3 linked regions of the Coturnix japonica genome follow. The protein of the gene in region 3 interacts with the protein of the main gene of each other region in a biochemical or structural test. Links are inferred from orthologs where the notes say so. Each region holds a gene or a part of one and is shown on either strand. Other genes may lie near its edges.

What was found.
Region 1: the proteins of GOPC (region 3) and SSTR5 form a complex in vitro, tested with the Homo sapiens proteins (2 studies listed by BioGRID and IntAct, with this or other methods). The link is inferred for Coturnix japonica from reciprocal best matches to the Homo sapiens genes GOPC and SSTR5.
Region 2: the proteins of GOPC (region 3) and RPS6KA1 interact in a test that uses a peptide from one of them, tested with the Homo sapiens proteins (2 studies listed by BioGRID and IntAct, with this or other methods). The link is inferred for Coturnix japonica from reciprocal best matches to the Homo sapiens genes GOPC and RPS6KA1.

The regions. Positions count from the first base shown.
Region 1 is NC_029529.1:5,617,058-5,620,120, reverse strand, and holds the end of SSTR5 (somatostatin receptor type 5), read left to right. Parts: intron 1-479; 5' UTR 480-543; coding exon 544-1,656; 3' UTR 1,657-2,503; downstream 2,504-3,063.
Region 2 is NC_029538.1:142,792-145,993, reverse strand, and holds the end of RPS6KA1 (ribosomal protein S6 kinase alpha-1), read left to right. Parts: intron 1-914; coding exon 915-1,037; 3' UTR 1,038-2,576; downstream 2,577-3,202. UniProt on the Homo sapiens protein: Serine/threonine-protein kinase that acts downstream of ERK (MAPK1/ERK2 and MAPK3/ERK1) signaling and mediates mitogenic and stress-induced activation of the transcription factors CREB1, ETV1/ER81 and NR4A1/NUR77, regulates translation through RPS6 and EIF4B phosphorylation, and mediates cellular proliferation, survival, and differentiation by modulating mTOR signaling and repressing pro-apoptotic function of BAD and DAPK1.
Region 3 is NC_029518.1:57,644,532-57,648,188, forward strand, and holds part of GOPC (Golgi-associated PDZ and coiled-coil motif-containing protein), read left to right. Parts: coding exon 1-85; intron 86-520; coding exon 521-701; intron 702-1,205; coding exon 1,206-1,324; 3' UTR 1,325-3,657.

The sequences.
Region 1 (3,063 bases), on a different chromosome or scaffold from region 3:
GATGCTAGAGCTGGGGTGGTGCTTTCAGATCGCCTTATGTGTACTCACTGTGTGGTCTAAAATTACTTTCTAAGTTGTTTTCTGTATCAGACTGTAGACAGAAAACTAAGAGGGGAGGTAGGTTTTGGGTTTGTATGTTTTTCTCCCAGTTCACAGAAGGAAAACTGCTATCTCTGATTGTAAATTGTGATGGCCATCACGCTCTCTCCTCTCTCTTGAATTTCCCAGTGGGATGCTTGCTGTGTTACTGCATGCAGCTCCTTAGAATTAAACAGAAACCATCAACTGTGTGTGATCACTTGGGCTCTCATTATGAGATTCCTTTGTCCAGGCCTTGCTCTTATCCTATGTGCTGAATGTATAATTCAAACAGAGTTCTGACGACAGTTAGGAAACTAAATGATGAATCTCTGAATTAATTCACTTTTTCTTTCTCTCCCCTCCTTTCTTTTTCTTTATTTTTCCCTTCCTGTTTTTAGGAACAAGATGCCCATGAAGTTTAATCTCTCTTAGCCTCAAAAGAAGAACTGGGGAATAACAGTTATGGATCCTTTATACTTTTCCAACACATTTAACATGGACTCAAGTTCCAGTGATTTGAACTCCTCGCTGCTGACAAATACAACAGAGAATGGGACACTCTCAGAGCAGCTCCCATTCAAATACATCCACAAAGTCCTGATTCCCATCTTTTACATCCTGGTATGTGCAGTTGGACTCAGTGGCAACACATTGGTTATATATGTGGTTTTGCGTTATGCCAAGATGAAAACTGTCACCAACATTTACATCTTGAATTTGGCTGTTGCTGATGTACTCTTCATGTTGGGCCTGCCCTTCCTGGCCACACAAAATGCCATCTCCTACTGGCCTTTCGGCTCCTTTCTGTGCAGGCTGGTTATGACTGTAGATGGTATTAACCAATTCACAAGTATTTTCTGTTTGACTGTGATGAGCATGGATCGCTACCTGGCAGTAGTTCATCCCATTAAATCAACCAAGTGGAGACGTCCCAGGGTGGCCAAACTCATCAGTATGACTGTCTGGACGTTCTCATTCCTGGTGGTGCTTCCAGTCTTTATCTTTTCGGACGTGCAGGAAGACTTTCACACCTGCAACATGAACTGGCCAGAGCCTGTCAACATCTGGTCTGCAGCGTTCATCATCTATACATCAGTCCTTGGGTTCTTTGGTCCTTTGTTGGTGATCTGTCTGTGCTACTTGCTGATTGTGATTAAAGTCAAATCTTCAGGGATTCGAGTTGGGTCTACAAGGCGCAGGAGATCGGAGAGGAAAGTGACCAGGATGGTGGTGATCATTGTGGTTGTCTTTGTGTTCTGCTGGCTCCCATTTTACATGATGAACATTGTCAATTTGATATTTATACTGCCAGAAGACCCTGTGCTGGTGGGGGTGTATTTCTTCGTGGTGGTTCTGTCCTATGCGAACAGCTGTGCCAACCCTATTCTTTATGGATTTCTTTCCGACAACTTCAAGCAGAGTTTTCAGAAAGTCCTTTGCCTCCGGAAGGGCAATGGCGTAGAGGATGGTGACCCCATTGAACACAGGCAAGAGAACAGCAGTCGCTTGCAGGAATCAATGTTAACCCAGAGGAATATTGAGTACAATGGACACATGCAGACTAGCAAGGTGTGAGGGCATGGTGTGAGACTGCCAAGCACTTGTAGGCCTGGAGAACTTGAGATTTAAGGGAAGGATGAAATCACAACTAAAATCTGGAGGCCCATCAGCTCCAATGAATGTACGGAGTCTTCTTTTCACTCCCTTCCCTTTCACAGCTAAAAGTGCTCTGGGTTATACTGAGCTGTGTGAAGTTCTCGCGGTGTTTTAATTAAGGCAGTCAGATGTATGTTACTGCTTCCTGTACTCTAGAGAACCAATCTACTGGTACCCACTGCCAGCTTTGTCCTCCTCCAGTAATCCAAAACAACACAAAATGTGTTCTATACACTTTGTTAAGCTGAGCTCGTGGCTGGGGTCAGCTCGAAACAGAAAACATCTCAAATAATTCCTGTGAAAATACCTTTGAAAGCCTTCAGAGGGGTCTCTTCAAAGAAATGACACTATTTCTCAACAGAAGTTCCACACAGAAAAGGTCACAGCACTGATCATGAAATTATGTAAAATCCATTGTTTTAGAGTGCTGTGTAGTCCATTTGCATTGTTCTACTGTTATTAATCCGTATAAATCTCAAAAGTATTTGGGAGTCTTTCGAATAGTAAGAAAGAATAATAAATAATATATTTAAAATAACAAAAAAAGAGTAGGAGAAAAATGTTGGAAGGATACAACATGTTTGTAATACTTTCACATTCTAAACCAAACTGCATATAAAATGTAATGTATCCACTTTATTATTATGTAAGTCAAAATGATTGTGAAGTGCTGGCAAGCTGTTATGTATATTTATTGGTTCTGAATGTAAGTATGGATGTGAATTTAAGCTGTATTTTCAGAAATTAAAACAAGTTCAACACCTTTTTGACTTTCCATTGCGTAGCTTCCTCAAACACTTGGCAATGCAAACAAAAAGGTACAGCCGAGACTTACCTCAATGTGGACACAATAGAGTTTAGTTGGGTTCAATGTGGGAACCTCCATCCTGCTCAGACACCAAAGTCACTGTGTCTTATGGTGCTTGAGAGCTCAATGGATAAACAGAGATCAAATGACTGATGTGAGACCGTACAGCAGAATAAGGAACAAGGAGCAGTGTGCAGGTCTGACTTCTGTCTCGCGGCTGACCTGAAACACTTGCACAGTTAAGTGAGGGATCTTCTACTGTGAAAAGATGAAAACAAATTACAGGTTTGTTTTAATGTAGGCAGAAGCTATTTAATCTCTTCAGAAATTGCTTTCTACCACTGCTGCTACCCACGCAGGTCAAACAGTCCTGCAAGGAAATTCATTTGTATGTAATAGAATGCAAGTCAGTGAGAGGAAATGAGGGGGCATCTCAGCTATTCCTTCCAACCTTTGGTGGCCTTTAACGTCTCTAGGGGACATGGCTGGGCCCCAGCAGCAGCAGGAAATATCAGCCT
Region 2 (3,202 bases), on a different chromosome or scaffold from region 3:
CACAGATCGTGTTCCCCAGGAGCTGATACTGGGGCCAGCCCAGTTTAATATCTTCTATGATGAGCTGGACATGGGGATTGAGTGCACCCTCTGGAATTCTGCAGATGACACCAGACTAGGAAAAAGTGTTGATCTGCATGAGGGTAGGAAGGCTCTAAAGAGGGACCTGGACAAGATCATCAATGGGCTGAGGCCAATGGGATGAAATTCAGCAAGACTTTGGTCACAATAAACCCATGCCAGTTCTACAGTCTTGGGGCAGCAAGGCAGAGTTGCAAGGAAGAAGAGGACCTGGGAGTGTTGTTCAGCCAGGTGTCAACCATTAGCCAGCAGAGTGCCCGGATGGCAAAGAAGGACAATGGCATCTCGGCTGTGTCAGCAGTAGCACAGCTGGCAGGAGCAGGAATTGACTGTCTCTCTGTATGGCACTGGTGAGGCAGCACCCCAAGTGTTCAGTTTTGGGCCCCCCACTACAGGAAAGACATCAAGGCCCTGGAGCATGTCCAGAGAAGGAAATGGAGTTGAGAGGGATCTGGAGCACAGTGCTATGGGGAGCAGCTGAGGGAAATGGGATGTTCTATACGGAGGAGGCTCAGGGGAGACCTCATCACTCTCTACAAGGGGAGGTGGTGGAGTCACAATCCCTGAAGGTGTTTGGAAAACATAGAGATGTGGCACCGAAGGACATGGTCAGTGGGCATGGTGGGGATAGGTGGGGGTTGAACTTGGTGATCTTAGAGGTCTTTTCCAAACCTCAGTGATTCTATCGTTCTATGAATGGCATGTCAGTGAGGGATGGAGATTTAAAGAAAAAAAAGCAATCTGATCTTGGCTTTGATTCTGGCTCCTCTGCTCCCTCCTCTTGTAAAGCATCTCCCACACCTGAGTGATCACTCTTGTGTCTTCTCTCCAAGGGGGCAATGGCTGCCACATACTCTGCACTGAACAGCTCCAAGCCGAGCCCCCAGCTGAAACCCATCGAGTCTTCCATCCTGGCACAGCGGCGGGTGAAGAAGCTCCCCTCCACCACCCTGTGAGAATGGGGCAGTGTGGGGTGGTTACACCAGACTTTGCAGAACTACTGAGGTGTGGCAGGACATAGGGCAGTCGGTGCCTGCCCCTTGAGGACTTGTTCCCAAATCTACGTCAAGGCCAAGTGCCTTCTGCCTGCAGTAGACTGGCTCCTCCTTGCGTGGACTGATCTTTGCTGAAAGAACTTCACTGTAAAACTTTTTTGAAGTGTAAATTGTTGATTTTTAAAGACGACCATCTGTGTACATGAGAACTAGAATGTATAACTGATGTCAAGTGGCACTAAGAAGCAGCTCTGATTCACCCTTTCCCACGTAGGGACAGATATTTTTTGTAGCTACATCATTTCAAATAAGGTAGGAATCATCTAGAGAGTCCAGCAGAGGGCCACAAAGATGATTAAGGGCCTGGAGCCCAGAACTGGTCATGGTGTTCCAGATGTGGCAGGGCAGAGGGGCATGATCACCTCCCTCGTCCTTCTATCCACATGTTTTTTTAATGCACCCCAGGTTACCATTGGCCTTCTTTGGCCACCAGGGCACACAGATCTACAGAGCTGTGTCATTTGTCCTGTGACAGGCAAACCAGCAGTACTGTAGCAGGGCTGCATATTGGGCCACCTCCTCTCAGGTGTATTACACCACTTTGCAGTGGGAAATAATGAGAAATAGTTGGAACAAGGTAGGAATCAAAAGGAAAGATGGCAGGATGTGGGCTGCGGAGGGGAACTCCTTCTCTCAGGGCATTTTAGTGTTAATAGAACCCAACACTTTGAGGTGAACTGTGCTAGAAGTAAATCCCAGGCCCACTCTCACCTGCAGGCCAGTGCTGGAGCTGCCCCAGTGCTGGCAGAGCAGAATGGCAGAGGCTGCAGGTGCACGAGGGTGTGACTGAAGTCAGCAAAGATCCTTGTGCGAATTTCTGCTACTGGCAAATTTTGGTTATTAGTTCCCAGTCAACCAAGTGCTGTTACTTTTTTAATTCCACTGCTCAATAAAAAAGGATGTGTTGATCTCTGTGTATGAGAGCTGTGGGTATCTGTGTGGCCGGGCAGCCCTTTGCTCCCTTTGTGGTTTTCTCTGACAGCATTAGAAACCTTTCCCAAAATATAGAGGGATTAACTGCTATCATCTGAATGGAGGTCACATCATTACTCAGAGTGAAAGCAGGGCTCCTTCAACCTGCTGTCCTGTAGATCTGAAGGAAAGCTTTGGAAAGATGCAGTCTGGGATCCAGCTTCTAATCACGGAGTCTACCTGGAATTATTCAGCTGTGCCTGGGTACTGTGTTAACCCACAGCCACGTGGCCTGGAGATAGCAGTGAGCATCTCTCTCTGTGTAAATGCAGCTTCTGAGTAGGAAAGGTTGAGATTTCCCATTTGGGAGCATAAATCAGCAATGTTTTCTATTGCAGAAGGGCTGACCCAGCTGAGAGACTGTTTTCCTTCTTCCCACTGCGTAAAGCAGCCGTGCCTTCCTCTTAATGATGTGGTACTGACCTGTCAAATTAAATGGAGCATAAATAAATGCTTTTTGGCCTGGTAGCTGTTCCCACCGTGAGTTCTTGGGCTGTTTGGAAAGTGAAGTCTGGTAACTCTCTAAGCAATCATCTTTTTTCCTTACTGAAATGCAGCACAGCTCCATGTACCCTCTGCCAGACCCCACCTGTATATGATGTTTATGCAGTTTTAACTCCTTCCTGCAGCTTTGCCACCAGTCACTGGCTGGGACAAGCCCCAGATGGGTTGGCTTCAAGGTGCCACCAGCCCCCAGCAGGGCCTCAGGATGTTCTGGAGTTGTAGGCACACGCCAGGATGTGGGGCAAGTGCTGTGCTTTCATGTAACATTCAACAACGTAATCTCCTTTTGAAAGCAAAGACAACATTTTAAATATATCAACATCTTTTTCAAGTACAGGGCAGGCAATGAATAAAACCTTCATTCATGCTATGGAAGCTGGAGGTCTACTGCCACTCCATTTTCTTGCTCTGGTTATTAACACATCAAGCTGTCTCGCCACTCAGCACAGCTCACTTGCTGCCTTCCTCCTTTGTGCAGCGCCAGAACACCTGCCATTAATACTAATTCTGCTCTGGAGAGAAACTCCCTTTCAGATATGCTTGTCTGAAAATAAATTGACATGTAAAAGGTCTCTTTTGTCGGGAAGTGC
Region 3 (3,657 bases):
TGTTGGTGATGCTATTCTGGCAGTAAATGGAGTTAATCTAAGAGATGCCAAACATAAAGAAGCTGTAACTATCCTCTCTCAACAGGTCAGTTGGGGCCTGTTATCCACAGGCAAATTTATGCACTTCCTTTATTCTGCCTATTGCATTGCCTTGACTTTTAATGTTTTCAATCAAACAGTATTATGCTAAGCTATGGTAATTCCTGAAGCTCCATCACCTTACAGTGAGTCCTCCTATGTCTTACAGTTTATGAGAAAAGGGCTGGGTCAATACTGTTCTGTTAAACCTTTGTGTTGGCCAATGATTCTTTTGTAAGGCTGGTGGAAATCTTCTTGTTAAATCTCCCCATAGAAATAATTATTTAGTGATACCTGGTCTATTATTTTATGAGTGGACAGCCCCAAATGGAAAATGTTTCTGATATGCTTTGTGGTCTAGAATCTTGTTGCTGCATTGCTTCTCTTTTTCAGACAATTAGTATGTTCCCTTGAATATATTCCTATTTCGGTTTTGTTCTAGAGAGGCGAGATTGAATTTGAAGTAGTGTATGTTGCTCCAGAAGTTGATTCGGATGATGAAAATGTAGAATATGAGGATGAGAGTGGACACCGTTATCGTTTATATCTTGATGAACTGGAAGAAGGAGAAAATTCAGGTTCCAGTAGGAAAGAAGTAAATGTGGATGTCAAACCCTCACAAGGTAAGCCTTCTAAAAAGCGTTGTATTTAATTCTGAGGTCTCAGTATACAAACCAGTTTCTGGAGAACACTGTTCTTGTGTTAATTGTAACATTTATCTTCTGTTAATTCAGTTAACCTACTAGTAAGTTGTCAGCTCTTTTGGTTGGCCCCTTACTCACTGGCTTGGTTTACTTAGATAAAACTGAATTAGATAATTTTTTTGTGTTTTGTGTATTGTTTTTTTTCCTGATCACTTTTTCCCAATTGTTCTTATTTTTTCCTGACTAGTCTAGGTGTAGTTAATACCCTGTGAGCCATTATTTTGTATTGTTCACTTCTTCAGGTATGTTTTTTTAGATGTTTGTCAAGAATTTATGTTTTCCTTCCATAGTGTTTTACTGAAAACATGAGCTTGTATTTTTAGCAGTCTTCTCAGGACATTTTCTAGTTTCTGAAATAAATCTCACTAATCTTTTATTCCCAAGATTACTTCTCTTTAAATAAAATTTCTTCTTAACTTGCAGTGTTTGATAAGAAACCAAGTATTGATGGACATGAAAATGGAGACCTGGGGAATTCAGTTGAAGCTTCATTAGAAGATGCTGCACCCAAATTAACCCGTTCTGCTGAGTCTTTATCCTAAAGAAAGAAAGAAACAAACAAAAACAACTGGACAGATCCCATCTTTGGGAACAACTGATAATCAATATTGACTGCTCCGAGTTTGCGTACACAAATGTAGGTTGTAAAAGGGTAATCAAAAGTCAAAGGGAACTGTTACTTTTGCCTGGAAAAAAGGCAGTTACCTCAGGGCTTCATTGTGAGCAATTTTAAGCGTGGAGAACTGTCTTTTCCTTGACACACAACGGCTACTTAACACATTGCATGTAAAATGAATTTCCTTTTAATAATAAGCACCAAAGCATGGGATTTCTAAAAAGGATAACCTCAATACCTTCAGCTTTTATTTTCTTTTATATCCCTAAGGAAGGGGGATAAGATGTGACCAGCTTCATTTTAACCCCTTGATGTTTTAAAGGGACAACCAGTGTTCAGTTTGTTGTGAAACAAGCTTTGACTCTGGAAGGTGAGGGAGAATTGTACTGTTGCATACCTGAATTTTCCACTTGGAGATTTTGATTTATAACTTTCAAAAACAATGTTTTTTTTTCTGTTCATTTGTTTTTTGGTTGTATTATTTTTTTCCTCTCAAAATAGCAAAACCTTGTTACTAAGCAAGGTCTTCAAAACCCAAATTCAGCAATGGAGTGCTTACTAGCTATGACCCATGATAATATTATGGGTGTGCTTTTTGATATTATTCTTTTAATTAATTCACTGCTAATTCTTCCATATGAAAACTGCTCCAAGCGTATTTAAACATGGTATTAAAGGGTTTTACAAACATAATTAGTTTTAAAAGACATCCACAGTTATGTGTGCCCTTTGGTATTGTGTCTGAACATCATCAGTTCAGTGTGCGTTCTTGAATGGATTTGGTTACTACTGGTGTGGAGTCATCTGAATTGGTCATTATTAGCTTGAGCTTAAGAAATGCTGAGTACTCTCAATAGGTACTGAACATATTTCAGATTAAAATAATCTTTAAAGAAGTGAAAATAAAGTGCACAGTACTTTATAAGAGTTGCTCAGAATTGTACAGTGTCTGGCCCTATCTGTTACTTTTGGGCAGTTGTATTAACCTGTAATTGTCTTACTGTTGAAAGAGAAAAGATACTGTTTTTGTAATGGCAGTGTATCTGAAACTAGCTTTTAATTGGTGTGCATCTAAAGGCCCATGGCATGGTTGCAAATGGAGATGCTGAGGACAGCTTCTTGGCCAGTTTCTTGTATAACTGTAGATGTACAAGAATTGACCTTGTAGATCTTTAGGTGAAATGCAACTTTTTTTTTCATATACAAACTCTCTTCGTAATCACATTTATTATTTCAGACAGCTAAGATAGCTTTCCTATTCACTGCTTTGCAGGCTGTTGGACTGTAATGTGAAAAGATTTTATTATTTGACAGTGGAACTAATGTGAAAAAAACATTTTTGGAAGTGTTAGTATGTAGGATATTACGTACCTAAGGAAAAACTTGGATGGCCTTTAGAGTAACATCAATTAATTTGACCTTCAAAATTGTGATGTAGAACACGGTTGCTTGTTTCTCATAGGAGCACTATATATATGTTAATAGAAAAATCCTAAAAATGTATATACTTTATTCAAAGATTTTTCTATTTATAAATCCCTTAACTTTGCTATTTACAAGATTGTTTTGTGTGTGTGCTTGTACGCATGAGTCCCATTCACTCAGTGGAGTTATTTGGTTCATTTTTTGTAATAGCCCTTGTCATATGGCATACTGTTTGAAGGCTTTTAGAATAGACAAGTTGTACAGTTTTCACCACACAGGCACTAGTATTTAAAAATGAATCTGTGTAAAGAAGGAACAGGTCAACAGACATAGATATGTTTTTTCTGATGCATCAAAAATTACAGGCATGTTGGGTACAAATTAGCAGATAAATCCACTGCTACTGTGTGGTTTTGTTTTTTTTTTAATTATTATTATTATTTTTTTCCCCTCTCAGTTAGTAAAGTAAGAGTGCACTCTGAAACTGGCCAGTGGCCTAGAACACTCTGTGCTCCCTGGCAGAGAGTGTAATTTGAAGCCAAGTAGTAATTTTACCGTCTTTGAAAATCATAGCTGTATAAAATTCTGCTGCAGTTGTAAGATGTGAGGCTGGTCCAACTAGTCTAAGAGCTTTTTAAAAGCACTGAATTTGCCTGCACACTTTCCCTGTATCTGAGGGAAAGATTAAATTCCTTATTCATTTGATCTTCCTTATTTTCAGGCGTAGCTCATTTTCCATTTAGTCCATTGATCCATTTCAGCCTGAGGTGGGAGAATATTTCGGGAGTTATTTTCCTGACATTCCTTGTCCACCTGTTTGTTACGATCCTGTAC